Linked DNA regions of Oryzias latipes. The main gene of each other region encodes a partner of the protein of the gene in region 3 in a complex. Links are inferred from orthologs where the notes say so. Each region holds a gene or a part of one and is shown on either strand. Other genes may lie near its edges.

What was found.
Region 1: the proteins of cdkn1b (region 3) and ccna2 are in contact, whole or in part, in a crystal structure (PDB 1JSU), measured with the Homo sapiens proteins. The link is inferred for Oryzias latipes from reciprocal best matches to the Homo sapiens genes CDKN1B and CCNA2. Residues at the interface, in NP_004055.1 of Homo sapiens: Lys25, Pro26, Ser27, Ala28, Cys29, Arg30, Asn31, Leu32, Phe33, Gly34, Val36, His38, Leu41, Thr42, Asp44, Leu45, Glu46, His48, Cys49, Asp51; in NP_001228.2 of Homo sapiens: Met210, Ile213, Leu214, Asp216, Trp217, Glu220, Val221, Glu224, Met246, Arg250, Gly251, Lys252, Leu253, Gln254, Leu255, Tyr280, Ile281, Thr282, Asp283, Thr285, Tyr286, Thr287, Gln290, Arg293, Met294, His296, Leu297, Lys300.
Region 2: the proteins of cdkn1b (region 3) and skp2 are in contact, whole or in part, in a crystal structure (PDB 2AST), measured with the Homo sapiens proteins. The link is inferred for Oryzias latipes from reciprocal best matches to the Homo sapiens genes CDKN1B and SKP2. Residues at the interface, in NP_004055.1 of Homo sapiens: Ala181, Gly182, Ser183, Glu185; in NP_005974.2 of Homo sapiens: Arg294, Asp319, Val321, Arg344, Tyr346, Asp347, Gly369.

What each region holds. Positions count from the first base shown.
Region 1 is NC_019868.2:204,021-214,102, reverse strand, and holds ccna2 (cyclin-A2), read right to left. Parts: upstream 5,087-10,082; 5' UTR 4,719-5,086; coding exon 4,518-4,718; intron 4,211-4,517; coding exon 3,958-4,210; intron 3,861-3,957; coding exon 3,754-3,860; intron 3,684-3,753; coding exon 3,460-3,683; intron 3,385-3,459; coding exon 3,180-3,384; intron 3,102-3,179; coding exon 2,988-3,101; intron 2,813-2,987; coding exon 2,679-2,812; intron 2,186-2,678; coding exon 2,134-2,185; 3' UTR 1,739-2,133; downstream 1-1,738. Other genes in the region: bbs7 (Bardet-Biedl syndrome 7 protein), read right to left, coding at 5,870-6,003, 6,089-6,212, 6,643-6,746, 6,833-6,942, 7,123-7,287, 7,527-7,666, 7,883-7,951, 8,052-8,126 and 7 more. UniProt on the Homo sapiens protein: Cyclin which controls both the G1/S and the G2/M transition phases of the cell cycle. Functions through the formation of specific serine/threonine protein kinase holoenzyme complexes with the cyclin-dependent protein kinases CDK1 or CDK2.
Region 2 is NC_019870.2:24,272,964-24,282,965, reverse strand, and holds the start of skp2 (S-phase kinase-associated protein 2), read left to right. Parts: upstream 1-4,663; 5' UTR 4,664-4,769; coding exon 4,770-4,783; intron 4,784-5,404; coding exon 5,405-5,658; intron 5,659-5,734; coding exon 5,735-5,846; intron 5,847-6,584; coding exon 6,585-6,728; intron 6,729-7,023; coding exon 7,024-7,158; intron 7,159-7,291; coding exon 7,292-7,390; intron 7,391-7,518; coding exon 7,519-7,646; intron 7,647-8,272; coding exon 8,273-8,324; intron 8,325-8,713; coding exon 8,714-8,821; intron 8,822-9,253; coding exon 9,254-9,473; 3' UTR 9,474-10,002. UniProt on the Homo sapiens protein: Substrate recognition component of a SCF (SKP1-CUL1-F-box protein) E3 ubiquitin-protein ligase complex which mediates the ubiquitination and subsequent proteasomal degradation of target proteins involved in cell cycle progression, signal transduction and transcription.
Region 3 is NC_019864.2:11,433,853-11,443,972, forward strand, and holds cdkn1b (cyclin-dependent kinase inhibitor 1B), read left to right. Parts: upstream 1-3,764; 5' UTR 3,765-4,085; coding exon 4,086-4,512; intron 4,513-4,714; coding exon 4,715-4,830; 3' UTR 4,831-4,843; intron 4,844-5,633; 3' UTR 5,634-7,113; downstream 7,114-10,120. Other genes in the region: yars2 (tyrosine--tRNA ligase, mitochondrial), read left to right, coding at 1-19, 115-270, 858-1,028, 2,448-2,607. UniProt on the Homo sapiens protein: Important regulator of cell cycle progression. Inhibits the kinase activity of CDK2 bound to cyclin A, but has little inhibitory activity on CDK2 bound to SPDYA. Involved in G1 arrest. Potent inhibitor of cyclin E- and cyclin A-CDK2 complexes.

The DNA.
Region 1 (10,082 bases), on a different chromosome or scaffold from region 3:
ACATTGAATATCTGCAAATTCAAAGAAAATCCTAGTTTGGAAGAAATACAGCTGGAAAAATCAGATTATTTCCTTTAGCACCGATTCTCTACAGACTTTGAAATCAAAAAATGTGTTCCTCCACTTTGGAGTGAAAGAGCTGAGCTAGAATATGTTAGAATGGAATTTGCATCAAATGCACCTGGACATGGCACAGCATCGGCTGTTGATGTTGTTGCTTCCCCTGGAGGGTGGCGCTCAGCCTGTCCGCTGACATACTCAGGATTCTAAAAAGCTAATGACAGAGAGGCGTTCATTAATGTCATTAGCAGAAAACTGTCACCGGCCAATTCACCAATGAGATGAGAGGAGTGCAAATTGCCCACTTGATGCATTGCTTTAATCACCATGAATGCAGATGCAGATTTGACGCCGGCTTGCGCTTTTACATTGACAGCAAAGGTTGTTTGTGTGAATTCATTGCTGAGATGAAAAGAGATTGCTTTTTCTCAAGATTAGCTTTATTTTTGCAAGAAAAAGAGCTGGGAGACAGTTCCATACTCCCCAACAAACATGGTTTATACTTTAGGCACACAGAGCAGTAAAAAGAAAAGGCAGTGAAGATACAAGCTTGGATTTTTGGAGGCAACAAAAGCACTTTGTCTTACATTGATCGGCAAAGGCACATTCAAGCCCTGCGACCAGCCCCGGTGCTGGCAGGGATTGGCACATTTGTCCGTCTCTCACAACACACGCTGCAGCCTCCGGTCAGAGTGAGGTTGCCTCACGGAGCGCACGGGCTGCAGCACCGACTTTGCCAGAGAGTTTCTGAGCTGTTTTAAAAGCATCCAGAGCAGAAGCACCAGCAGGATCAGAAGTCCCAAGAGCATCCCCAGGTACAGGCTCAGGTTCCAGCCCCAGCCCAGAGCCAGAGGCAGCGAGGTGGACGCCACCAGAAATTTTTTGGGGGCAGGCATGCGTTTCAGCCTGCTTTGGCCAGCCTTCAAGTCTTTATTCGCACTTCCCCAGAGGGTTGGACCGATGTGATGTAGCTGCTGGTAGCTCTGTGCAGGCATCCATCCTGCTGGCTTTGCCGTTAAAGTCCATTCAGGATCCTGGTTACATCCCCATCACCAGAACGAGCCTCCAGCAGGAAGGAGAACCTGTTGGCTTCTTAACCGGCCATTCTTTGAGCAGGAAAAGCTTTCCAGCAGCTGGTCTGCTTCTCCCTCTGCCAGCCTCCAGTCACAAAGCCAGCCTCCATGTTCAGTAAGGGGGGGGGGGCTCCTTTCCCATTGGCTGCCTGGAGTTTTCCCCTCAGCAATAAATCAAATAGCCAGGTGGAAAATGCCAGTGCTGGTTCCTTAGATTCCCATTCATCCTTTGCACTCCATACTGAGAGAATTTACTGGTCATGTTCAGGGTTGCACCTTTGTTTCCCCAAAATAATCTAAAGATGTTGATGTGGAAAGAACCAGACGGCTTTATTCCCTCCCCATCCAACATGCATCTAGAGTAGTATCAGCTTTACTAGCAAGTCAGTAGAGCCCAGATGTTTATATTGTATAAATAAACCCTAATTTGGTTTCAGCGAAAAACTGAAGGCTGGATGTCAGACACAGCTGGAGGAGGAGACAAACCCTTAAAGTGTAGCCCTGTGCATTCTGAGCTCCTCCCCAGCAAAGTTAAACCAGAACAGTTCTCTGAAACCAGATTAAACCAGCAGCGGTTCTTTACTGCCCTCATGTGTACAAACGGATAGTCTTCAAAAAGAAGTTTATTTATAAGAGCCATGGTCTACAGTGCAGGAAGCCAGTGGATGAAACGGGACACAGATCATGGAGTCAGCCTTTAATCTGCATCACATCAGGCAGTCTAAGATGAAGGAAACTGCCCGGCTTCTACAAAGGCTGAACATTTGCAGATTAAAGCAGCACTGAATGAGGACAGACCGACACTAAAAGCCATTGATTACACAACTGGATGCACATGGCATAAATGCTGAGACTAGAAATATAAAAATATTAAAACCTCTTTAAGGAAAAAAGAAAAAAGGAGCACCACTCCAAAAAGAGCAGAACATGCCGTCTAAAACTGGTACGTCATTTACAAAAAATGATTAAAAAGACTAACAATACATCAACAACAAGCAGGTCACTTCAGCAGCAGCTTGGAGGGAGCAGCGATCGTGGAGACTTCAGAGTATCTGTGGAGAAAAGACAACGTCAGAGTACGACAGCGTCTCCTGGAGGACTGCCAGCCTTCAGGAATCTGCATTCTGATTACACGACTGAGGATTTTTACAACATTCTCAGCTTAGAGGACAAATGCTACACATTTCTGAAACCATGTTCCTCCCTGCAGTGTCACTGAAGTGAGTAACAGGCCAAGGAGTTTACCATCAACAGTGAAGATGCTGGAGTCTGGAGCCGCCTTTTGTTTCCATGCAACTTTTCAGAATTATCCGATCATCTTAACACCTCTAATCTCGCGGTACAACTAAAGACACATTTTTAGCCATCATTTAATTGAATTTAAGGTTACTTATTGTAAAAAAAAAAAAATGTGGTTGGGAAGTTTTTACTGCTAGTTGAGCTCTCAGAAATTGTCAGATTCCTCTGATACTTTTTTAGAGTAATACAAATATTTTCCAACGATCCTTAAATAGAAGTACACAAAATCAAAGTACGGCAGCTCACCTGGAGGCCTTGTACTTCTCGCGGACAGACTGCTGGGCGTGCTGAGCGGCGCTCAGGAACATCTTGTGAAGGTCTTCGATGCACGGCATCAGGTCTACTAGCATGTAGCCCGTCATCTCTGCCAAGGATTTGGGCTGGAGCAGAGCAGAGAAAATGTCAGTGAACCAATTTTACATTTCCACAACCACCATGAGCCTCAGCCTGGCATGTGACAAACAGCCCCACGTCCCCATAAAGCATCTCAAACCAAAACATTCAAGCGTATAACCCTTCACATTCCTAACTTAAGTTGGAGGGAAATAGTCTCACCCAAGAGCCGCCGGTCACTGCATGGTTGGCGAGGATGTAGGCTGCAGCCGCCGTCTGCGATGGCAGGTACTTCAAGAAGGGGTCTGAATCTATCAAACTCAACTCCCCGAGGTACTGAGGACAGATCAAGCACCGTCAGAGCACATCCATATGCTTCTGTAGACCAACACGACGGACCACATGAACACTCACCATTGCCAAGCTTTCCACCTGTTTGTTGACGCCGTGGTGGCAGAAGTACTGAGTAAGAAACTGGTTTATCGTTGGTGCTGCCAGATCAAATGACAGGACTTTGAGCACCAGATGCTCCATCCTCAACACCTGCTTCTTGGTGTACGTGTCATCTGTGATGTAGACGAACTCTGCCACCTCAGGAGGGTAAATCTCTTCGAATTTCCTGCACATACAAAGTCATTCAACCTTTCCGAACCAAACTAGTCGTGTTTTCCTGGGCAGGATAATTGGCACATACGCAGCCAGCAGCATGGCAGCAGTCCCAACAAGCTGGAGTTTGCCCCTCAGGACGGACATCGACGAGAGGAAGCGATCAATGTAGTTAACGGCCAGATACAGCGTTTCATTGTGGAGCTTGTACTCTTCTCCAACCTCCACCAACCAGTCCACCAGGATGGCCCTCATGCTGTTTGTGATGTCAGGCTGCTTCTTCATGTAGCCGGCCTTCGGTCTGGTTTTCACCTGAAACAAATACCCGATTGTTGTAGCAGAGATGACAGGAGGGGAAGAAAGGAAAAGGAGAGTCTCTCACCTCCATCTCCCTCAGGTACAAATGAATTTCAGCTGCATATTCTGGGACTTCGTTGACATTAACTTGTTTGTCGTCCACCTCCACCAACGACATGTCCATGGGAGAATCTGAAAGTCATTTAGTGCACAGATGATGACACCTCACTTTGACACCAAAGCCAACATCGGTCATTACTAAACAAGCCAAGATTCTACAGCAGCCCACCAAAGCCGGCTTCCACAACCAACGGGACATCGAGGGCAGCCAGGGGCTGTCGGCATGTCAGGGCGTTGTGGACGGCCACAGGAGAGCGAGGGGCCGGGGCCCTGGCTCTGAGGGCCTCAGACACGGTCTTCTTGGTGCAGGCGCCATCAGGCTCATCCATGTGGATCTGGAAGGCCGGCTGCTTGACAGGCGGCTTTTCCAGGACGCTTTTCCCATAATCGTCAGCTTTACAGGATGAGGGTAGAGCAGAGTCCTGGAGGCAACAGAACACAAGAAAGGTGAGTTTCTGCTCTGAAGGCAAACAGCAGCAGATCTGCTTCAGAAGACAGAACAGTCTGTAAGGTAAACTAGGAGGAGTGAGGCTAAAATGGCGCACAGACTGAACATGAAACTACAAAGACCATCTCCAGAAGCAGATCTAAGACAGGTTCAGATGCTAAAGGCGAATGACTGTTATCACGGTGCTAGAACCGAGCCACAGCCGTGAGGAACCGGGAGCACAGCCGGATAACCGGCGGCTGGCGCCCCGCCGCGGAGCGGGCCGTGCGGCGGCATGCTACCTGCTTTGCGCCGCGGAGGCTTTGGGTTTTGTTCCGCTGGTGGTTCTGCAGAGCTCCCAGCACGGTTCTGTTGGCAGCCTGTTTGGGCGGAAGGTTTTCGCTGGCTGCAGGCCGGGCTTTGATGGCGCCTCTCAGCCTGCTGGACGGCATGTTCTCCTGGTTTTGGAGCTCACTCGCCGCGCTTCGGTTTGCCGCCGACATGTTTCCTGCAACAAACACTCGCTGCTGGCTTTGACCTTTGAACTCTTCGGGACCCCTCGTCGTTCGTAGCGGGGATCGGGTCGGGTGCTAGCCTGAAGTGGAGCCGAATAAACTCAAAACTAAACAGTTGAGATGGCAACGAAAAAACAGAACAGCAGCGCCACAGCAGAGGAGCGCGTGAGCGGTAGAGCGATTCCAAAGCGCGGGACACAAACACACTACGGTTCCATAGTCACGCGGGTCCACAGCACAACCGACCAGGACACGAACCACTAGCAAGCAGACATTTAGGAACAGGGTTCTGCTTTCTCTCAGTTCAAGTAGCCCGCGAGGATTGAACCAACCAATCACAAAGCGCACAGATGGTGACGCTGCAAAACTACTGGAGCCGCAGTGGTACAAATGTCTTGATTGCAAATTCAAAACCGGTTGGACCCGTTTGTCTGCAGCGGCACAGAGCAGCAAACGAAAGGAAACGTCCCTGCTCAAGCAGACGGCAGTCAGGACGACGTCCGTGGATTTTAACCGTCTGCAGACTCTTCTGAGCGTGTTTATTTACAAAAACTAAAATAAAACGACACTTTCTGAAGTGTTGTCAGATTTCAAGTGCTTATGAGCTTATTTGACCTGCAGTTAGTAAGGATTCATTTAAAGGAAAAGGTTCTCCAAATATAATACACTGGATTCTCTGTTTAAGGGTTTAATGGCCATTATAATAAAAATAAAGAAGAACAAAGCACGTCACTGAAGATGTGTTCAGTCATGTGTTGTGGGGATTGAACAGGCAATGAAAAACACCACAAAACATTTCTACATAGTTTAATATGGTCTGATCTTTAAAAAATCATATGACATCTTTTGACTATTTCATTTTTAAATAGTTTCTCACAGAGATTTTCATATAGAAATGCAGTCCGTTTAGCTTTGATTTCTGTCTATGAACCTGTGATATGTTATTAAATGAAAAAGAGGAGTCTGTATTAACTACCTGGAGGAATTTATAAAGTCTGGATTTAAGCAGAAATAATTGTGGATTGTGAAACCGACAGCTTCTGAAAACAGCATGGCACCATGACACAAACTATAACTGTCATTACATAAAGATGCAACATAGAAGCAGAACACGTGAATGGATTTTATTTCATCCAACCTCAAACATCATTGAAAAATTCTAACAGAGAGTTTAGATCATAGTTATCCAGAATCTCCAACAGAGATGACACCTTTGTTTTCACATTCTGGCCTTTGAACTTGAATTTATCAATGAAGAGGTCAGTGATCATTCCTGCAGGAAAAACAAATATAAAGAAATAGAAATTAGTGTCAGGAGACCAACAGAAATTAAGATAAATGTGGCTTCTGCAATGTACCATAAAGCCTCTCCAGATGTGCTGGCTGCTTCTTGTATTCCTCCAGAAGACTGGCAGATTCATCCAAGATGCTTCGATACTCTGGTATGAGAAAACTGGCGTTTCCCTCATGAACCTGAAGCTCCTGACAATTCCAGAAGAGATGTGGGTGAAGTGAATGTACAGAACCTCAAGTACATCACCAAACATCAAACCTTCACAGAGAAGAGTCGCTGGTTTCCTGATTTTAATTTCAATTCAGCAGAAAATAGGAATAAGACATCCTTCATTGTAGGAGCTATATATCCCATTGTGATATATTATTTTGCCTATTTCAAATACAATTATATACATTCTTTAAAGTGCATTTCTCGCTTATTTTCCATCTCTCTCTGTTTAAATGAAGCTTCCATCTGTCACTCCATTTCAAAGTGGGCAAACCTACATAATCAGCAAAGGATCAAGTCCGTTTTTCCTCCACTGTAGTTGCAGATGTACTGCAGTTCTCGGCTGTCAGTGACATCTGAAATGAATCTTTCCTTCATGTGTGCAGATGAACACAACAGCCTGCTTACTCTCAGAGCATCAACAAGCTGGACCTTTTTAGCCAACAGCAGCTGGTACTCCAACTTTGGATGAATCATTCTGAGAGTGTGGCTCACCGAGTCATCATTGATATCTGAAAGAGAAATGCATCTTTGAAATTCTTTTCTTGTCTTTACATGCAAACAAAAGCATATGTGAACGCAGAAGTGAGGCACCAACCATAAGAAATGTTGAGATTGATTTTCTTTTTGGTTGCTTCTTTAGAGAGAACATCACTTAGAATAGAAATAGTAGAGATGTTGTCGGACTGGAAGTGACCTTCGCCTTTGCTGAAACAACAAATTATTTACACCACAGATGCTACGTTTAAAGATGAAGCTCAGGAGGAATGTATGTCGCATGTAAAAAAAATCCACATCAAAATATTTGAAGCCGGATTGTAAAGCAGAATTTTCTTCCTTCATACATTGACTGGAACTTGGGCGTTTTTACCACACGGCTGCATTTACCAGTAGGTGGCTTCAAGCTGTGTGCCCAGAAAAGTATTGCGAAAATAGAAAGTGATGTCGTCTTCAGCAGGTGTTTTTTCTGGCACCTCTGGCAAACAGAAAACCACCCAGGAGTGGATCTCTGCAAAACTGAACTGCCCCACCAGGCTAAGACGGTTCATGGGTCTGAAGAAGACAAACAGACAGAAAACAAGACAGAAGGTCACTGAGTGACAGCAGCACTGGCTGACCTTATTAAGGTCTGCACTGAGGTTTGAACACAGCCCAGAACTACTGTACGGTGGTAGTAACATAGATGGTTATGACTATTGGCCTGAAAAACCCCTCCATAAGTTAGAATTCACTCGGCATACTTTGATTGGGCTATTTCTTCTCAGAAACTCTCATCACAGACAGTCAGTCACCTGGCTGGGTCGATGCTGTGGGTGCGTTGGTGGAGGGACAGAGGCTTGATCTGGTACTGGCGAACCTGACAGGTCTTGGGTTGCAGCCTGGGGGTTATGTAAGCCTGCAGGGTCCCATACTGTCCCTCAATAGACCTCACCTTGGAAAACAACCATGATAACACAGGAACAATGAAACGCATGTTTCAGCATACTGCACAGGGATGTTCAGCTAAGAAGAACCAGTCTATGAACCAACACAACTAGTTTTGGTCAAGTAGTTTGATCGAAACAGATGTTTACGGTTCATGTAATGTAACATACTCCCACAGGAATCGGCAAGCTCTGCTGATGTCACAGTTCCATCTACTGCATACCTTCAGTTCCAGTCTGGTGGTGTTGGCCTGACATCTGTATGTGGCCAGGAGAAAGTTACCGTTGGGTTGCTGCAAAAGGAGTTAGAAGAGTCTGAACATTAAGGCAGATCGGTGGCTTTCTTTGAGCAGAAAGCCTTGGCCTTTCTGCAAACAGCTCCATTTAGCTCACCTCAGGGTCACATTCACTGAAACTGACAACGGCCGAGTTCTTATCCACATCCAGCAGATCAATGGGAACATCACTCTGGGAGCAAACTGAAAGTTACATTCTGAAGGGTTTTTCTACGGGATCAGTTTCAACTGAGGACCTGATTTTCGGTTTACCTGAAGCAGCAGATTATCGATGGCAGTCTGGACCTCCAGAGTGAGGCTGTAGCTCGCATCGTCCTGGCAGAGAGTGAACTTGTCATTGATGCTGAACACGGGCACAGCAGAGACGGCTGTGCTGGACTGAGTGGTCTGCTGGTACTGCTCACGTCCCTGCAGGACTTTCCCCTGCAGCTGTTCCAGCTCCGCTCTGAAAGGAACCAAAACTGACTTCAACTGCTTCCATCCCTCCAGTTTCCAAAACCACTTCATCCCTTTCAGGGTCGCAGGGGTGCTGGAGCCTTTCGGAGCTACTGTTGGGTAAAGGCAGGGTTCCCCCTAAATGCTGCCAGTAATAACTGACTGGGTAAGAAGCTCCTACCTCAGTGCTTCCACTTTAGACTGTGTCTCTTTGCTCATCCTAAACTCATCTCCAGCAGCAGCCTCAGTTTTTTGCGATTCAGTGGTCAAACCAGTCACCCATCCTAGAAGAGGAGCAGTATTCCAGATTCAATTATAATGGTCCTCTGTCAACTAACAATGCGTGAAACCTGTGAATTCAGAATAGTTGAGAGGCTGACAGTGTTGTAAGGTTCAGGAAAACGTCTCTACTAACCTGTATAAGTGGCAGTGACAACCTCATCATAAGACTCTTTCCCCACACAGCCTCCCTGGATGGAGGTCACACTCTCAGACAAAACCTGTGACCAGGAAGGAAACGTTTCCGCTTTAGCCCTCAGGTCATGAAATGCTGATCAGGATAAATAGCTTTTTCAAACAATAACAGGACTTTTAAACACCAAAACAACAACTACAAACAAAAGTTCTGTTAAAGACAAATATAAGAAATTTAAAATGAATTCATCATTTTGCTTTGACAACCTGCTCAACAACTAAAGTTATGGATTTATGTTTCGCAAATAAATGTAACTTTTTTGTTTTTTTTTATTTATTTGAAATGCTTTATTTCAAGCAATCAAGGAATAATGCACAAAACAATACAATAAGCATTCATACAAAGACGTATCAAACTTAGGATAATAGATAATAGATATTAAATCAAAGATTGCTTGAAAGGGAGGAAAGGAAGCGAACAACTGAATTGAAATAGCTTCAGGTTTAAAAACAAAAGGATGCAGTTTTGGCAGAATGGATTTGTTGACAGAGATTAACTGTTAATTAGAATGAAGGAAGATGAATAAAACAACAAAGACTCCTGATAGAAACCTACATGCTCAAAGCGTAAGGTGGGCTCATTGGAACTGTCAAAGCCATAAACCTGCACCGTCCCATCATCTCTGCCCACCAGGATGTCATTCACGCCGTCTCCAACGATGTCGTACGCGTCGGCGCAGAGAATCCCTGACAGGAGACAAACGCCGTTTGCTGCTGAACTACACTTAGAAATGAGTCTGATACTCAAGCAGCTTCTATGAAAACGTGATTGAAAATATTTGATCATCCAAAAGCGAGTTACCCCCTTTTTTATTGTCATTATCAATTTCCCACTTGGCCACAGCGGAGTGCTCGCCAATCTGGACAAGTCCAAGTCTTCCATCTGTAGTTCCATAAAGGACCTCCTCCCCTGAGAAAAGATGGATGGAATGCCAAAGCTGGTGTAAAAAGAGCAGATCGAAGCCATAATATTCTTTGGATACTCAGCTGAAAAACAAATGGACTAGCCTGCATCTTTATTGTACAGTTCCAGGACTGATGGAGGACCGGGGACTTCAATGTCATAGGCAAGTGTGGAGCCCTTCAGTCACATGCAGATAAAATGATAGAAAGTAAACTATATGGAACTGACTGAAGGTCATGCACTTCCTGAAATGAAAAGATAAAGAAATAAAAGCTCAACTGACCTGCAAGACTCTCAGAACTCGATCTTGACATG
Region 2 (10,002 bases), on a different chromosome or scaffold from region 3:
GTCTGAAAATCTTTGGTGTTGGACCGGACGGAAAAGGAAAGAGGGGAAGAAGAGAGAGGGACGCTAGAGAGAGGGGGGGGTAGGGGGTGATAATAGGAGGGGAAGGGGGATAAGACCATGAAGCAGCATAAAGCAACAAGTTTACTGGTTGTTAATCATTATGGTAAGGTTCAAATGGAGTACAAAAAGGGCGGGGCCCGTCCACACACACACTCAAATGTTATAAACACACCTGCTAGCTGCAAAAATGTCCACCTGTCGACATGTACACAAAACAGATAGTGTTCACACGCATACTTATGCCTTAAAACCAACTAGTGTAAAATATTTCAGTCATTCAGTCATGCAAGCTATTAGTGCAAAGGTGAGCTAACACCAGTGCTCAGGTGAGGTTTTATGTTCTTCTAAAATGGATGGTGGAACGTGAAAAGAAGGAGGGAGAGTGCCCAGCCATCCCCACCCCAAGACCCCCACCGCAGCAGCAGCGGCAGCCGGAATCCCCCCAACGCCACACGGGAACCGGCAGCGAACAACCGCCGCCCGGGCGACCAAGCCCACCACCCAGGCCAGGGCCAGCAGGGCCGCCGCAAGGCCCCCAGAGCCAGAGGCCAGGGAAGCACGGAGGGAAAGAGAGCGCCGCCCCAGCCCAACCAGGAGAGCAGCCCCCCCGCCGCGCCGGGAGAACCCAACGCAGAGCCCCACCGGAGAAGGACGCCCACAGCCCCAAACGAGCACCCCACCACCACCCAGGAGTTCCGGGCATCCCCCCGCTCCAACCCCAGGTACGAGCCAGGACCCCCCAAGGGAGACCCGCTCCGCACTCCAGGCAGCCATCCGCCCGGCCCACGGTTGGTCCAGGGAGGAGCGAGGCAGGGGGCCCGCCGCCCCCGCCCAGGAGGGGGGAACCCCGGGGAAAAAAAGAGGGCCCACAAGGGGTGTTATAAATATGGCCCGACCAGGCTCGGCCACAGTTGGAAATTTGGCGGGGCCCAGCACTCAGGAGCAAGGACCAGAACCCACCCCCCAGGGACCAGACACCCCCGGCTCAGATGTAATGTGAACTCCCCCACCGCGCGGAGAGAGCACCGCCGGGCCCAGGAAGCCGGCACCCCGGGGACACGGCCGCTGTTGCAAAGGGGCCCGCAACCCCCACCAGGGAAGAGGCAGGGGACAGATGGACCCAGGTCCCACCTTCCTTGCAAAATGTGTGTGCGTGTATGTGTGTTTGAGATGGTGTGTGTGTGCATGTGTGTGTGTTTATGTTGGGATGTATATATTGAGGGGGGAGGGGTGTGTGTACTAAGGGGGGTGCAGTTAAAATTGGCGGGTAGGGCACTAAGGGGACATCTCCTGATTACTCACAGTGAAGTCCCCTCACCCTCCCCAACAAAGGGGCCCTAAATGTCTAAGGTGCGGTTAAAATTGGCGGGTAGGGTGCTAGGAGGACATCCGCTGCTTGCTGGCAGTGATGTCCAAGCACCCCCCCTACCAAAGGCCCTACATGTCTAAGTTGCAAATAAAACCGAAAGAGGGGGGGCCCACTCCATACGGCAACCATAGAAGGGGGGCCACTGCCTAGTAAACCCCCCCCAAGGCTCATCGCAGGCTAAGCCCCCCACCCCCTCACCCTATTATGAGGTTATATGAGGAAGGGGGTAATTTGGGGACAGCTGATAGACTGTCCCCCGGTGGTCAAACAGCTGTCCCCCGCCCCCCCCCCCGCCCCCCAGCAAGGGGGCCAGGCCCACCCAGCCCAGGGGCCCCACCCCCGGAGGCGCCGACACCCCAGGCCCAGCACCACCCCCCCCCACACAGAGAGAGAGGAGCCAGAAAGCGCCGGCCCCCCCCGGAGCAAGCCCAGGCCCCCACCCCCAAACGCCGGCCCTAGAAGAGCTCTGGTCAGGCCTCGACGGGACCGAGGCAGCCAACCGGCCGGAACTTTTTTAACATAAATATAAATAAAAACAGACAGAGACATTAATCCAGAATAACTCAAGTTAAAGCTTCAATAACGTATCATATTTTGCTCTCCAAAAAAATATATTCTGTCAAAATTATACAAATATGAACATGCTGTAGAACAAAAGAAACAAAGCCTGGAAATATTAATAATAAGAAATTACAAATCAAAAAATTCCGTTTTCTTTGCTCTTTTATCATTTTTTAGAGCTGGACTCCTGCATCATTTTAGCAATAATTTCTTGGTGTGTGACGTCCTGTGTGTGTCTTTATGAAACATATCAGAGGGATTGGATAAAAAAAAACTTATTGTGAATATTATTTTTAGGTCTTATAAAACATTAAAAAAACTAAATCATAGAACTCATCAGTGGGATTACTCCAAAAATATTTGGCTTTTCCCTAATTTTGTGCAACACCAACAGTAGAAATCCTCAATAAACCTCAATCCATTAGTTTATTTATGATCTCATAAAGTGCACCTGTTCTCCTGCTGTCTTTATGTCAAATACTGACACCAACTAAATGACAGAAAAGACACGTAATAAAAATATCTACAATAGTTGGTAAATAATGACATTATTAACATGAGCTGCTGAGTGATCCATCAGCATGTGATGATCCAGGTGTTAAGGTGGGCTGCGCTCCTCGCAGCCTGCGCCCACCACCCCTCCCCTTGCTTCTGACACACGTCTCTATGACAGGAGCGCGCAGCTGCGGCCTAGAGTTGATTGTTAGAGTGAAAAAGACACCAAATCACCTATGTTAGTGTGATTCACCCAGCCACCGGTGAGTTGCACCCCCCTCTCAAATTTTTTGACTTGTTAGGTTCCAAAACCTACCGCAAAGAGGTGTGGGCGCAAGTGTCTTGCAGCGGAGGGCGGCGGTCACGTGCACGTTGGGTCTGCTGTGTCGGAGCAGGGAATTGTGGGAAATAATCCCCATTGCCTGCTCTGATCGAAATTGGGTTGAGCACGGGTTTTTCTTCTGCGTAATTCCTTTTCATGTGGATGTTTTACGTTGTTTCACTCTTAGTTATTAACCATAAGTGTGGAGAGGGGAGAGGATTAACAAATAGGTGCAACGGTCTCTGTCAGACGTGTCAAAATAAAAGCGTAAAGTGTTGACTGCTGCAGGCATGTCAAAAGAAAAGCTGAAAGACTCCTCTTTGACTTAGGTATTCCCTTTTGTGTAACATTGCCGGCACAGAAAATGCTGCTCCTATGAAGTGCCTGGGCCACCGCCCACCTCGCCCATATCAAAAACCGCCACTGCGCACACGAGTGCACAACAGTACGAGCACAATTGAATAATCTAATACGAGCGCAAGGAGTACTAATCTACATTCAAAGTTAGGCCCAAAACATTCCTTTTTGGACAGGCTCATTGCCAGACAAGCTAGTAATCAGAGAATATTAAACTTACATGTTTAAATTAAACTTAACAATAACAATTAGTTTTTAGTTGGCTGCTAGAAGTTTGAAGCTGGGTAAACTATGGTGCGTTGTGGTTCTTTCCTTTATTCTTGTCATCTCCTCTCCATCTCTCCTCTATTCTTGATCCTTATTAATCATTTAGTTCTCCATGCCTCTGTTTGGTGCAGTGCGATTCATGTACTCTCCCTTTTGCTTCCAGATACCAGTTGGCTCATCCCTGCTCCTGTACCTGACCAAGTACCTCGTCTGGGGCTTGCCTCTACTACTGCTCCTACACTTGGCTGTGCATCCTGTCTCCGGCTCGTCTCGTGCCCCCATCCGCCCCCCAACTCAATCTGGATGAAACTCATCTGCTGGACTTTAAATATGTAGTTGTTGGGTTTGGTAAGCTCATCCTTCTCTAAGAGGTCTGGTACATCGCCTGTCTGTCCTGGGGGAGGATCCCTCGTTCATGTTGGCACCCCAGAGGTTTCTTCTTTTTCAAATCAGTTTTTCCTTACTGCGCAGGAGTGTCTAAGGGCAGAGATGCCTAGCTTAGTTTAGTCTGTTTAGTTAGCTCAGTTTAGTATTTTCCTATTAAATCCCATGTACTCATGAACCTTTTGATTTTATGTTTACCTTATTATTACCTGTACGAAGCCCATTGAGATGACTGTTGTTGTGATTTTGGGCTATACAAATAAAATTGAATTGAATTAAATTAATCCGTGCGCACGGTTTATCAGATTTTAATTCTTTTTTAATCCCTGGCACCTGGAGGGCTCCGTATCCCTACGACCCCGTGAATATTTACAGTTTGTTAACAGGGATAATTTCGTATTCAAGACAAGCAAGAGTTGCATTCAAAACAAAGACTAATCCTGTTCAAAACAGACACGTCAAATTATATGTGGTATTCATATTTTTTTATTTGAAGTTGTGCACAAAGTATTAGTTTTGTATTTATACACGTGTTTTGTATTGACAGTTATCTTACCCAATACTCGCCCATCTTGTTTTCTACTTCACAAATAAAACATTTTCTGAACAGCATATTTTTCTCTGTTCATTAATCACAAAGATGTGAATAAAGAAATACTCAGAAGTACAATTTTTAGCCTAATTTAAAATAAAAATATCCTCCATCAGAATTTATTTTTTAATTTTTTATCGAAATGAGGTCATTAAAAGGTTTTCTTATGTGGCTAGAGAGTAGAAAAAACGAATTAAACTTGAATGCCACATCGTCCGCAAAAAACGTAGGACGTGACGTGACAGACGTCTGGAACGTCATGACGTCAGTTGAAAGAGGGCGCCTCGCTGCTGGCGGCGAGTTTAAAGAGTCCCGACTGGAAAGAGCGGCATCCATCCCCGCAGTTTAAGGCGCCAGAGAAGATGTCCAGCGACAGGTACGGACTTCACAGCTGCTACGTTTAGCTAAGAGACTGCTTCGCTATCAAACACATTTACAATCCTTTCTGTTATTTAGACTTTTGAAATGTTTTCGCGCGTGCATCTCCCATCACCGTTGACATACTAGCCTAGGTCGCTCAGATCGCTCGTGTTAATCATCTTTCGGCATTTCTCGGATGCTGATCGCGGTTGTTTTTGTGGAGAAATCTGCTAACATCATGTTGTTGTTTAGTGAGTCGCTGATCCAAAGAGATCTGCCTGAAAACTCAAGCTGATGACCGATACCGCGCTTTTCTCCACGCAGGCCTCCACTCTTTTCATGATTAACTTTATTCATTGGGGTCATCTGTGGCTGAAATTCCATTTTCCATTTCAAACCCCCAGCAGTGCTGCATCTGTGCATTTTGGAAGATAAATGACGGCGCGTTTGTTTGAAAATTTGCGCGGTCCCGTCGCTTGTTGTTGTGTCCACGTCAAATATGGCGGGCGCGCACAGATCCCCGTCTTGAAGGAGCTGGTGAATCTGTTCCTGCAGGTTTTCTGGTTCAGATCCACGCAGCACTGACTCATCCGAAGGCTCGAACTCTATCGTTTCCAACTGTCTCTTCTCCATCCAGCATGCCCTTGCGGGATCTGCCACGCGCGGGCCTCCAAAGCCACGCGCTGTCTCAGTCCGCCAGGCTGCACAACAAGCGCAAGTCCAGAGGCCACCTGAGCCAAGGCCTGGACACCGAGTGCACCCCAACAGAGCTCATCCAGCAGTGGTCCCCCCCACAGAAGCACCAGAGAACCGCCTGCAAGGGCAAGGAGAACGACCAGCACACGTTTGTCCTCGCCAGGAGACCCAGGAGAAAGAAAGACTTCAGAGGAGGTGATCAGGCTGCTGCTCAGAGGGCTGCAGGGCTGGGATGTCAGCTGTCTCACTCTGTTCTCCTTCAATCCTACAGGCATTTCATGGGATCATCTGCCAGACGAGCTGCTGCTCAGGATCTACTTCTACCTTCCTCTTCAGGACCTCCTTCGAGTCTCTTTAGTCTGTAAACGCTGGCATCGTTTGGCGTGAGTCTCTGTCACTGAATGTCACACAAATATGCAGTCCAGTTTCATTTTCTATTTTAGCCCCAGTTTCAACATGCAGATTTATTTGGTTTTTCAGAATTTTCACTCTTTTTTTTAAATTACCCACTCTGATGAAAATGCCGTTTTTGACATGTTCTCGAGCCATTTTTCAGATGACGGAGGACATGAATGAAGAAAATCAAGCTTAAAAATGCATTTCTGAGTATTTCTTTAGTCAAACTGTTGTAAATAAGGAGCAGACAAAAAAATGCAGTTGGAAAAAGATCGTATTTGTGACGCACTGCAGGCGAGCCAGAAGCTCCCTGTTCCGCTCCATTCTTGATGCATTCGAATGGATCCATGTACGTCTTTCTGTTCTTTGTCCGAGCGAGCCGGCATCTGCCTCAAAACTGTATGGCTCGATAGCTTTAGTGTTGCTCGGCGCCAACAGTCCCGCCCACAATTCAGAGGTGAATTTCGAATGAACTCCTGCTGTCCTTTTGTTTTGCCTAAAAGCAGCATAATCCTGATCAAAGACCCCTCAGGATGCTTAGAAAATAGATCGGAGTGGGTTTTTAACTTAAAATAGGTTTTGAGATTCTGATGAACATGAAAGACTTCAGTACTACAGATGTTCAGTCTGCCACACAGTTTTCATTAGCTTCAACCCCAGAAGCGCCTCTTTGTGTGTGATGATTGTTTGCCGGTGTGAGAGCACTCTGCTTGTGTTTTCATCAGGTTTGACGAGTCTCTGTGGCAGAGCGTGGATCTGCAGGGTCTGACCAACATGGGTCCAGCTCTGCAGCAGGTGCTGAGGACCGGAGTCCGCCGCCTGCGCTGCCCGCGCGCCTTCGTCGAGGAGCAGCAGTTTGCAGGAACAGAGTGAGCTTTGCAGATGGTTGGACCTAGGCCTGCACAATAAATGGCAAATTTATTGCTTGCTATTATCATCGCAACATGGATCACTGATACTGCAAATTGCACGTTTTCCTCATATCATGCAGCCCCAGTTGGACCACAACCATCTGGTCCAGTTTTTTTTTTTTTTTTTGCAGACCTGTTTTCCAAGCACTATCCTCACTTTTTAGATGCTCAAGCTGAGCGATTAGACACGAAGACACACCAGTGAGCCACAGACGCCTTCCTTCACTGCAGGACCTTTTCTCTTTTTGTCCAGACCTCTGCAGCTGCTGGACATGGACCTGTCCAGTTCCATCATCCCCATTTCAGCTCTTGAGAGCATCACCTGCCGCTGTCTCCGCCTGGAGCGATTGAGCCTGGAGGGTCTGCAGCTCTCAGACAACATCATCAGGTGAACAAATGGTTGTAGTTTGGTTTATATCCACCATGCTTCAGAGTCGAGCTTCTCTTCAAGGCCTCCGGGTGCTACTTTGCCGTTCACGGTTGGTTTGGTCATCAGACTCATGTCAAACTCTTTGTTGCAGGAGTCTTGGGAACAACGTCGGCCTGCAGCAGCTGAACCTGAGCGGCTGCTCCGGCTTCTCTGCTTCTGTTCTGGCTGACATGCTCAAGTCCTGCTGCAGGTCAGTGAACGCCTCTAAAAAAACGCACAAAACTTAAAAATAAAGTAAACTAATTCATGTATGTGATGAGTTGATTTTGCATGCTATATTAGTGTTGTCATTGTGTCCTCGTGGGTTTTGTTTTGCAGGATAGAGCAGCTAAACATTTCATGGTGCGGCTTCAACAAGGACCACGTGAAAAGTGTTGTTAGTAATGTCAGCCCCAGAGTCGTCAGCCTGAACATCAGCGGGTACAGAGAGAGCCTCACGTTAGACGGTAAGCCGTGGAAACCTGATTCCATAGGAAGGGGACTCCTCCATCAGTTCTACATCAGAAGTGCCTTCGAGGAGAAATTCGACTGACGGTTGATCACACTGGTTTTTACAACAGCAAAGCTGTTTGAGGCTTTGTTTGCTTAACCAACCAATCCAGAGGATGGAAACAGAAATCAGACAACACAAGCTGTTATAGCTTAGTCACAACTGCCCTCACGGGTCTATATGGAGCATGTGGGGGGGCCCGCACATAACGTCAAGGTTGTAGATCACCCAGTGAGCCCATAGCCCATCTTCAAATCCTCCAGTCTGCACATAAAGCCTGTTAGTGCTGTTCAAATGATTAATGCTGTTATAGTTTAGTGTTTTCCTTTTTAATCGGATCTGATTTCCACAAAGTCTGTAATCAGGACCCCTGTTAGTAAAGTTCTTTCTTTATTTTTACATTTAAACTCAAGGTGATAATGCATACAGGGGGAAATGGAAGTGTGACCAAACTCTATGCATTACATTTTTTTAGTTTTATTTTCAATTTTCTTTTCCTGCAATGCCAAGTGTGATAGTTTCTGGGAATAATCATGAAATCTTTTTGCTGTCACTGATGGGAATGGCGTGCGTGTTTTACAGATGTAAAGATCCTGGTTGACAGATGTCCTGAAGTTCAACACCTGGATTTGAGGTACCGTCCCGCTCCAGCCCAGAGAAACAGAAACACCAGATGCGTTCATTCAGAACTGCTCTTCATTAAAGTCCCACTCCGATCATCTATTGTAAAAGGGTTCCCAGTTGTCTTTTAAGTACGCTTATGCTGTTTTTAGCAACAATCAAAAGCCTGTGTGGTTCTCTAGGACACAGAGCAGTTATATAGAAATCCACCTCTGAGTTGTGGATGGATTTGTTGGTGCTTAATTATCTTTATATATCTCCATCATGAGAAAAATCCCACAAAAACATTTTAAAAACACAGTTTTTAATTGGAGTGGGTCTTTAAGTAAAGGGTTCTCCTCAGATGAACTGGATTCCTAAGTTCTGTCTCTATCAGAATTTCACTAAGTCTTTGTGTTTCAGTGACAGCACCCTGCTGATGGCTGACAGCTTCCTGGTTCTCAAACAGCTGAAGGATCTGCAGCACCTGTCCCTGAGTCGCTGCTATCACATTCACCTGGCTGCTCTCACGTAAGTCCTCACCTGGAGCTGCAGGGTGGATCTTCAGCGTCCTCCGTCCTAATGAATCATTGCAATGAGAGAGGATTGGACCACAATGGACCATGCTCATTAAACATGAACCAGGATATTCAGTTGGTCCTTCTTTTCAGTCACCTGTAGGTGGTAAAATTAAGTCTTTTTTAAAATTTGATTGGGATTAAATGTAATCGTCACAGTAAGCCGTAAGGCTGTAGCTTTGTCTCTTTACAGTTCAGTAACCCCTGACTCATCATTCTTTAGATGCATATAGGATCATGTGCTCTGTTCTTTGTTTAAATATAAGCTCTTTGCAGAAAAAGGGTGGAAATGTGTAAATGCTGATTGTTGGCTGAAAAGTGAAAATCTGGTTGGTTTGAACAAATTGAAGTTCTGCAGACTCAACTTTCTGTGTTCTTCCTGCAGGGATCTGGGACAGACGCTGCCCTCTCTGCGCCTGCTGGACGTCTTCGGCCTCGTGCAGGACAACCAGCTGCCGTCTCTGAAGAAGGAGATGCCTCACGTCAGCATCAACTCCATGCCTTTCTCTAGTGTGGCTCGCCCTACGCCCGCCAGCAAACTCCCGGGGTCCCACGGCGACCGCAGCATGTGGAACAGGAAGTGCCGCCTCAGCTTCCAGCTCTGACCGCGGACTCAGTCCTGTTTTGTTTTTTTAAAGGGACAGTTTGAGCTGCAGAGCAGGATCTACATGTCAGTTCTAGACGAGGCTTTAATCTCTCTGGTACCAATGACCCATCAGTCCTCGATGCTATGTTGGCAAACTCAAAGAGAATTGTGTCATTTAGAAAACATTTGAAGGTTTAGCCACGTGTAGTAAGTTTGAAAGCATTTTAAATCTGTTGAATGTTCTAATAATGTTAGAACTTTTAAAAGGACGACACTCGGATCAAGGCATGACCGGAAAATGCTTTTGTTCTTTGCTGCTGTTTGAAAGGAATCGGTGAGCGGTTTTCCTTTTGCTGTCAAATGTCTGGCTTTAGTTGGTGCTGAAAGCAGTGTTATGTCATTGTTGGATGATGGGAGGAGCCTTGTTTGTGGTTCCAATTCCCTAAGGCTGTTATTTTTTTTTTATGCCTCTGTTCTAAGTCAGCATTTAATGATCCTTTTTAATGGATTTTACCTTCAGCGATTGTTGGTTATCTGTTCTCATGTGT
Region 3 (10,120 bases):
CTGACGCCAACGTGGAGGGGTATGTCCGCATTTGGAGTGCCAGCGTTTACTGATTACTTTTCAGGGTCAAAGCAAAATCTTTTCTTTTTGTTTTTTGTTGTCGCTGTTTTGCAGGTACCTGAAGCTGTTCACCTTCCTGCCTCTGGCAGAAGTGGAGAGTCTGATGAAGCTGCAAAGGGAAGATCCCGGTAAACGACTCGCACACAAGCGGCTGGCTGCAGAAGTGACCAAGCTGGTTCATGGAAAAGAGGGTCTGGAGAGCGCCAAAAGGTCAGGATCAGCGCCCTCTAATTTCATTAAGGGTTTATGGATTTGTGCATTTGGCACCGCTAAATCTGAGGCCATGGTTCTCAGCAGGAGAAAGTTAGTCTCTGGGTGGGTGGAGTGTCCCTGCCCCAGGTGGAGGTGTTTAAATATCTTTGTTGACGAGTGAAGGAAGACCGGAGTGTGAGACAGACGGATCGGAGCAGCTTCTGTAGTTATGCGGTAGCTGTACCAGTCCGTTGTGGTTAAGAGAGAGCTGAGCCGAAAAGCAAAGCTCTCAATTTACCGGTCCATCTTCGTTCCAGTGCTCACCTATGGTCATGAGCTCTGGGCCATGACTGAAAGAGAGAGGTCCTGAATACAAACGGCTTAAATGAACTTCCTTCGTAGAGTGGCTGAACGCTTCCTTAGAGATAGGGCGAGAAACTCTGTAAACCACAGAAAGCTCGCAGTAGAACCGCTTCTCCTCCACATCGAGAGGAGCCAGTTGAGGTGGCTCAGGCATCTAGTCCGGACGCCTCCCTGGGGAGAAACTCTTACTCCAGAAAACAGGCAGCACCATTGTTTGCATCTGTGTGTGTTCTCCATTGCAGGTGTACCAATGCACTGTATCATAGCAGCGTGCGGGCCTTGGAGGAAATGAGCGATGAGGAGCTCCAGGAGCTCTTCAGGGAGGCTCCCTTCCATGAGCTGCTGTTGGAGCCGGGCATCTCCGTCATCGATGCCTGCCGTCTGGTCAGCGCCATCCCTGAAGGTCCCAGAGGGTGAGCTCTACCACTGCCTGGTCGTAAATGTACTGCAGTATTTCAGTTTGCAGCCACTTTACTGATTCCAGGACGAGTTAAGTCATGTGAAAACAGTCTTCGTCTGGGACCATATTTTTAAAAAAAAGCGGAGTGGATTTTAGACGCACATGTGGCACAAGTTTGACTTTTTTTTCTTAAACTGTGGGATGTACGTTTCAATACAACCTCCATGCAGCTGTGCATAAAGATTTTCCTGAGAAGAGTAGGTGCAAACAGACGTCCCCAAAAAAGAGAAGCCAACATAGTGGAGTGGAAAATCGAAGCGCTTCTCACAGAGGAGAGGAACTAGGAAAGATGTTTGCAGGGAGGCCTTAGTTCAGGCTTTAAAAAACAACTGATGTGTAGCCCGTTGCAGCGGAATATCACATCAACTAGTTTCACAAAGCAGTGAGATGTGAAAGTTGATGCAAAAAGAGGATCTTTGACGACAACCTTTCACAAACGAGAGAATTTGCTGACATTGAAGATGCCATCAATAAACTACGGTGGCCCTGAAGTGTAAATCCCACCAACAAATCACTCAACGGAAAAAGATACTAAAGATCACGATGACAATTAAAAAAGCACAACAAATACTAAAAAAGGATTACATTTTAGAAATCAAAACAAATTCTACAAACTAAAACGTAAAAATAAAAAGGAAATGTTAAAAAAATGAAACAAAATATGGAACCTGAAAAGGTAGGTACTATGGGACATCACCGATTGGACGATGATGTTTGAGTTTTAAAGATGAAAAGCATAAGGATGTTTGGCTCAAAACTGCGGTGGAGTTGATTGAGCAACCACTGAACTTTGACTGTGATCAGAAACTCGAAGACAAATCATCTAATGTAGTTTTTGCATTGACTGATTTGTTGATTGGATTTGCTCATCAGGGTCACTGTAATAAACACACGTAACATAAAAAAATAGCTTTAAAATTCAGCAGTGTCCCTCTTTTATTGGCTTTATAGCTCTTGAGTCAATTGCCTGTAATGTGTTGTAGCCCAACTACTGGATTCCCACTCGATCAAAGCATTAAATCTGTTACCAAATGGGGACAAAAACAATCACATTGGTTTGGTGCACATATGTATATTCATGTTTATGCTAAACTTGTTCTGTGGACTTTTCCATTTGCTTTACCATGAAAGTCTCAAAAAGTTGCTTTTTATTATTATTTTTTTCTTTACATACAAACACCAGCGTTTGTGCAAAGATTTGTGTTCACACATTTCCACCAAACCTTTTTTTCCCCTAGATGTTGTCGGAGGAATCAAATCCACTAAATGTTGAAATACACAAAGATTTCTATCCTGCTGCTTTGGGTTTGGTTGAAAACACTTGAAATGAATGGGATTTGGATCCTGACTGAGCCGTCGTGTTCGCTTGCAGGTACCAGATGGTTTCAGACGGAGCCGTGTGGATCAACCACACACGGGCGGACAAACCGGAGCAGGTTCTCGTCCCCAAACTCCACGTCCTGTCCAACGGACTCACTCTGCTCAGAGTGGGCAAGAGGAACTACTACATCATCAAGTGGCTCGGTCTTTGAGGCTGCACCGCCCACCGCAGTGCCTGTACGCCGTAAAGGACTTACAGGCAAGGTAGGCGACTAAAGCAGACTGTAGCGGACTCATAATGGTGACTCTGTAAGTCCATGTGGCCTTTGTTAAAAATGTAATCGTACAGACAACTTTAGTATTTAAAGGTATTAAAAGATTTGTGCTTCCAGAGTTGTGTGTTAGATGAAGCTCTAGGGGGCGCTGTTGGCTTGACAGTGGTTGAGTGAACACTGCTGCACCTCCTATCCTGCTCTGACCCTTTGAGTAAATAATTGCTCACAGCTAAATTAGATTGCATCATTTCTGTCAAAAGGCTTTTGGTTCTATTTAAAGACGACTGCGCCACTTTCAATTTAAGCATCAAGCTGCCCTCTATTCTCATTTAGGGGTGTTTATTTTTTTTTGCATGTGAATAAAAAGTAAAAACTAAGAAGCTTTATGATAAATCTGGAAAAAAACAGTTGACTTTAGGATAGCAGAAATTTATTTTCATCTTTATATGTTATTACTTCATATATAAATATTTTCAGTCAATAATTCCGATATATGTACAGATTTTGTTACGGTAAGAAAATTTTTTAGAATTAAAATGTTTATTAGGCTTTTACTAAATCAGCTCAGTTTGGGGTCCTCTTACTGGACTTTATCTCCATTTAGGACCACAGGTTCATTTATTAGTGTCCATTGAAAGAATATGATGCAACAATTTCAGTTTTGTTTTGGATTTTACTCCATTTTAATTGTATTTATTAATTTTACTGTACATCCAAAATGTTTAAAATAAATACTGAATATGTGTGTTTTAGAACATATTGGCACTATTTGTATGGTTGCAATCCAATTTTTTTCTTCAAATTTAGATGTCTTAAAATGTTTAATCCATTTTACTTTTTGAAACTTGTACATTAAGTTACATCAAATGTGTGAACTTATTTACTTTGTAAAAAAAATAAAAAAGGTAAGTAATATGTTTAGAACAGCATGCCTTATGCAATTATTCGGTCTACCTTAAATAAAGTGGGCGGGTCTAAAGAGCTCCATCCAATGAGTGCGCTTCTTGGGTTTTAAATGGCTCCGTATGTCAATCATGTGTAACCCTCCTCCCCCTCCCTCCAAAGTCAACCTCCCCTCTCAATCCCCACTACATGTCTCAATCGCCATATTGGGTACCGAGAGGTTCGCCTCCGCTTCCCGCTGTACGGAGCGACGTTGACAGCGAGCTTTGGTTCGTTCTCCCGTCGTTTGGATGATTGGCGTAAGCCGTCTTCGGCTCAGGAAATCGCAGCCGTGTTTGCCTCCAGCTCGACGTGCGCATGGTCGTTTCACGCCTGTTTTGGATCTTTCCCCGTGACTAGGAGGACATACCTTTTTTTTCTTTTCTTTTTTCTTCTTGAGGTGTGTTTTTCGCCTGAAAACTGGACGCTCCCGGCTGCTTGAAATTTTTACCTTTTTTCCGGGGGGCTTAACCATGTCTAACGTTCGACTTTCGAGCGGGAGCCCGACTTTGGAGAGGACGGAGCCCCGGGTGTCGGAACACCCGAAGCCGTCAGCCTGCAGGAGCCTCTTCGGCTCGGTGGACCACGAAGAGTTAAAGAGGGATTTAAATGTACATTTGCGGGAGTTTGAAGAGGCTGCCTCCGCCAAGTGGGGCTTCGACTTCGCGACTGACACACCGCTGCCCAACAGCAGGCTGGAGTGGGAGCTGGTGAACGCCAGAGACCTGCCGAGTTTCTACACCCGCCTGCCGCGGCGAGAACGAGGCGTTTGCCCCGGGAATAACAATGTGGATCTAAACGGGAATCATGACTGTGTCGGGACAGTTCCCAGCCGCTCTGACGCTCAGATGGAGTGCACGGAGCAGTGCGGCGGGCTGAGGAAGAGACCTGCGTGTCACGGTATGACATTAGCATCAAACGACCCGTTGCTGTGTAACAGATCGCCGGGCGGCAGCTTTGTGCTCGCGGTACTGGTATGCGGGATGAGGGGGTCGTAAAGCGGGGGAAACTGCCGTAAAATCCCAGAGAACATTGAGCACCCCGACCATTTTTTTCTCTCTGTAATATATAGTTTATTTTACTCATTTATTTATTTTTGCAGACCCTTCGGCCCCAAGTAAGAAGTCTCACACCAGCCCGGAGGAGGTTAGCTGTCCGAGCCTGAGCCAGTCTGCAGAACACACACCCAGAAAGACCAGCCCCAAGAGACCAACGTGAGCACGGCGACACGGTGAGCGAACCACTTCAATTTAAAAAAAACTGTTAACCTCGAATTTAAAAAAAAAAAAAGATATTAAATTTTACATCATTTTTTTTTTTATTTGTATTGACGCATTCTAGCGCAAAAAAGTGAAGTCTGTTTATTAAACCAAGAGGATTTATATGACACGCCAATAAAGAATTTTTAAAAAAAAAAGTTTTTTCCTCCTTGCGGCCGATGTTCGTCTGCTGAACTGTAAACAACAAGCTGAACAACAGTGTAGTAGTAACACGTCAGCAGCCAGTGGCCTCCGCGCGGACGGGAAGGGGCAGGTCTCTGAGCGCGCGCGCGCAGAAACACACGCAGACATGTACACTCCCTGCTGCAGAGGAGAGTACGAGAGTTCTGCAGGTCTACTATGACCCACAAGAGAGAAGGAGCACAGAAACCTGCTCTAAGCTGTCAGGTGTGAACCTTTAAAGGTTGTGGCAAAAAAAGTCAAGGTTAAATTAGCGGAACTTTGACTTCGATTTATCTTTAAGTAAAAAAAAATCCCATGTTCATTTTCGTCTCTTCTTAGTAAAAATAAAAGTTAACAGAACTGAAAAAATTGCACGTTTTTGTAAATGGTATGCAGCCGAGCTTTATTTGAGTTGATAGTTTTGTTTTGTTTTTGGAAATGACTAGTTTCTTCTTTTTTTTCAGTCATACCTCAGAACACTGTCAATACTTTAGCAGTAGTAGTTGCATCTCCTAAAAGAAAAAAAAGTACTAACCTTTCAACCTCTTTGTTTTTGTCTTTTGTTCTGATCTCCAACAGAGCTCAAGATGTGCCCCTCCCAGTTTTTTTTTCTCTGTACGAGTGTGTTTGCGTATGCGTGCATGTGTTTTTTTTTGTTTTTTTGTTTTTAAGACTGCGTTGATCTTTTTTTTTTTTTTTTAATTATTCTTTCCTTTTTTTGGACGAGGATCTACACAGCATCAGAAACATATCAGCTCTCCTGAGGACGGGGGAGGACGCTGTTGAAGCACTGAAGAGAAACACTAAAGTTTGTGGCACTCATTGAAATGTTACTGCCTCTAACAGCAGTCCATGTAGCAGCGTGCAATTAGGTTTGATTTTTTTCTTTTTTTAACTACCTGTGTGTAAATAATTTAATAAATAAATATATATGTTTTCTATGTAGCACATAAAAACATTGATTTTTTTTTTTTTTTAATCCTTTGTGTAAAAGAGGTGTGAATTTTGATTTGACTTGAAGTGTTCGGTTTGAAACATGTTTCCAAAATGCTGTTCTGTTTGCATTTTATTATTATTATTAATATTTTTGAAAGGCACTGTGGTGTTGACCCAGTCCATAAATGCTACATTTAAAAAAAAAGAAAGAAAATCATGGTTTTAGTTTCTCAACAGTGTGCCTTTATGCCGTCATCTTCCTAACTCAACAGCAAGGAATGGTACAAATGTAGCTCATCTGCCTAATGAACGTGTTTTTCTTTTCTTCCCTTTTTTGTGTTGAGGCCACTTTTTCTTTTTTCTTTTTTTTAAAGATCCACAGGAAATGGCACAGGATGAAATTAAAAATTTCAGCAAGTACCTTTTATTTTCCTTTTTTTTTTTTTAATATTTATTTTAAAATTGGAGTTCTGATGCTTTTATTTTGTAAATGTTTCGATCCCCAGAGTTGTGAGGCACTCATTTTTTTTTTGAAGGACAAAGACCATGCACATGTTTCCAGGCTGTCAAACCTAAGTTAAATGTTTCTCCTGTACCAAATACACACTCGCTTTTATTTGGTTTTCAGAGTTGACTTCACATCGTATGACTTTGTGATAACCTTGAATGCTTTTATTTGTTTTCCACCCTTGTTAACCTGCTAAAGATGGAGGTTCCGGCTTCCAAAAGCTTCTTTGTTTCCCCGCTAACATCTGGTTTATCTTCAAAGACAGCAGGCTCCACCTGGATGGAGACACAAAACGGCGCGTCTCACAAACGCAGTCATGTGATCGTGTAAACCTTTACAGTGTACATGCGTACATATTTTTGTAAAAAATAAAATAAAAAAGACACTGAGAAATTATACTAACTTATTTATGTCAAACTTTTTTTTTTTAAATGTAGAGTAATTCTTTTTTTAAGTTACGGTTATCCAAAGTGGCATTTACTTTATAAATTTCTGGGTAGTTTTTTTTTTTTTTTGTCAAAAAGGTTGCAAACTGAGCCTGATAAAATATTTGTTCATTTTGTAATGTGTGGTTATAAAATGTGTTGCAATCAATTAAAAGAGAATTGAATCTGACTTTTTTTTTTGTTCACATTTATGGAAATTTGTTACATTTAAGTACACGGATACCACATTTATTTTTCCTTAAATCTTTTGGAAAAATTCTCACAGATTCAGAGCTAAGAATGCAAAAGATCTGGAAGTAGGAAGTGAGTTTCTTTTTAGTCATTGACATTTTGGCCAACCAATCAGAACCAGCCAAAACTGATGGGGTAACTGCTGCAGACTCCTTCAGTTACCTTATTGGTTAAACATTTGTTCTTAGGAATCATGGTGTGTGTAAGACATCTGCTCTGTACCAGGTTAACATAATCATTTTAACAAACTAAAAGATTCTTTTTTGAATTATTTTTACATTTATTGAAGTGAAATGCGCAATTGTTCAGGCAAAAATATATTTAAGCAGCATATAACATATTTCAATAAGGCATTTGTGGGGCATCCTAGTTTTACAATTATTGACTCAAAAGATGAAAAAAAATTATAATTTGTGCTTGGTAAATAATAAAACAGATGAGGAAATATGTAACCGATGTTTTAGGTACATTTTAAAAGCTTGCTGCATAATAAAAAAACGAAGTTAATGAGCATTTACAGGAGTAAAAACTAATGTTTTGCTCCTTTTTTTTGGTGAAGATTCGTGTGTTTTTAAAAAAATCAATCTTCACACCTTGATGCCTTTCCTCCATCCGCAGATTGCACCTCCACGTGCAAACCTGCCCTGACGTCCCTGCCCCTCTCCCCGTCTCTGACGAGGCACAGCGACGGCAGTAAAATGAATGCCTTCAGAATTTCCCTGCTTCCTCGGGGGCCACCAAAACAGGAAGACACCTGCAGCAGCATTTTATAGCTGGATAACTGAGGAACGGGGGGGGGGGTGTTTGGGTGGGGTGGGTGGAGAATTGTCCTGTCCTGATGCGTGCAGGTGGGTAACCTCAGCTGGGCCGTTCCACCCCCCACCCTGAGCTCAGACCATTGTCCCGGTGTGTGGGCCTTTGTATGGAGGGGCATTGTGAGGGGCCGAAGCCGGCCACTGTTGTGTCTGGAGCTCCTCTGCAGACAAAAGGCGCGTCTATGAGCCCCCACCCAAACAGCAGCCTGACTGACTGACTGACTGACTGACTGGGCTGCTAACTAAACGACTGATGCCTGCTCTGTGGATGTAACTTGTCACATGAATGGTTTGAGCGGAGGATGCTGAGGTGTGAATGTTTCAGTCAATTCACAGCACTCAGTGCATATTACAGTTTCTCTATTTCTCTTTGATGTAAAGACTTTGTTTTTGACAAGTTCTTGTAGCATTTTCCTCACAATGGCGGACATTCTTGCAGACAAATAGATCCATAAATGTCTTTATTTTCCTCGTCTGAGTTGCCATTTGGCACAAAACTGTCCGGCTGGGTAATTTCCAATATTCCTCACCATTTTTGTTGCACCGGTAATGTTAGGTTAGGGGTGTGAGGGGCTGTAAGTTATCAGGAGAGCACATAAACAGATGGATGATGGGAAGGGGAGCTGGCTTACTCCGTTCCAACAGTCCTGCCCAAATCTCACAGGCAGATTTGCAATGAACTCCTATCGTTCTGCAAAATCTGTCCTTAACCCTTGTGCTATCCTATGACCCCACCCTTACATTGACGTGTTCTCCCTACCATGACAAAGGTCGATAAAGGTGGAAAGATTTCATGTAATCCATGGACACCAGTGAAGATCACAAATCATTGAAGAAAAAAGGTTCAGAGCACTGTCTAGTGGGTCTAGATGACCCAACTCCCAATGTTAAAGTGCCTAGGATAGCACAAGGGTTACAAAAACTACAAAAGTGTTTTTGTAGTTTGTAATCCTTTCTTTTAGACTAAAAACGTCATATTTGTAAATAAAAGGCCTCTAGACACACTTTTATAATAGATCAAAAGATGATTAGACTGAGTCTTTAAGAACTTTTATGGTTTTTTTCCAGTTTGGTATTTCTTTTTTTGGGGGGGAGAAAAACACAATTTGGTGACTAAGTGTTGCACGGTGTGACGACCTAAACACAATATTGCAAATCCAGATGTGCAAAACCAACCTGTTATGCTGAAAAAAATACATTTTCTGTTAAAAAAAATAATACCAATCAGTCTGGACTAAATCCTATTCTTTGAGTGCAGCAGTGAGTTTTCAGTCAAAATTAATTGAGTTTATAGTCTCAAGATGGTGCTGCAACAGTTACATATAGTGAAGTTTGTTAAAGTTCGAGAAATTTCTCCATAATCTACACCTCGGCATGCTTTTAATGTATTTCTAACTTTTTCTGTGTCCTGCACCAAAATCATGCCTTATTTGCCATTTCTTGTAACGCTGCTTCTCTAATTTCATCTCATGTTCTGCAGAAAATGTCCTGACATGCTAAACCCATTGAAGCCTATTGATGCAAAGGTGCATCAAACACCTTTGGCTCTATTTTAATTTTACATGAAAGCAAAAATTTAAGTGAATTTCTTTTATTTTCATAGCAGGAAATAAATTTAGACGACAAGGGGGTTAAGTAATCAGAGGTCACGCTCGTTTTGGGTTCATTGTGATGCATTTCTTTACCCTTTTTTGTTTTGTTTTATTTTTTTGTCCCAGTAGCAATTCTCCTAAAAGCATTCGTGCAGCACTCCATGGAAGCTCCCACCTCACCAACAAAACCACAGAGAACTCGAGGAAATTCCAGTCAGCCAGCCAGTCGAAGATGTGGATGAAACGGTTGGCCGTTCCTCTCTGCAACACCTTGCAAGTGCCAAAATATTCACACTTCCTTGCTATATCAACAGAAACAGGTTATCTTTTCCTGTTAACCGCCTCGACACTTTATATAAAGCCGCAAGTTCCTCCTCGCGTTTCCTGCCCAGGCCGCAACCTACGTCATGGAGCCGGTCCCCTGGCATCTACGCCTGTGAACAGCAGTGCCCACAAACAAACACCTGACATCCCGCTGTCTGTGCTGCCGCGTCTCTGTGACTCGGATTTGGAAGTTCAGCTGGAATCAGTGAGGCCG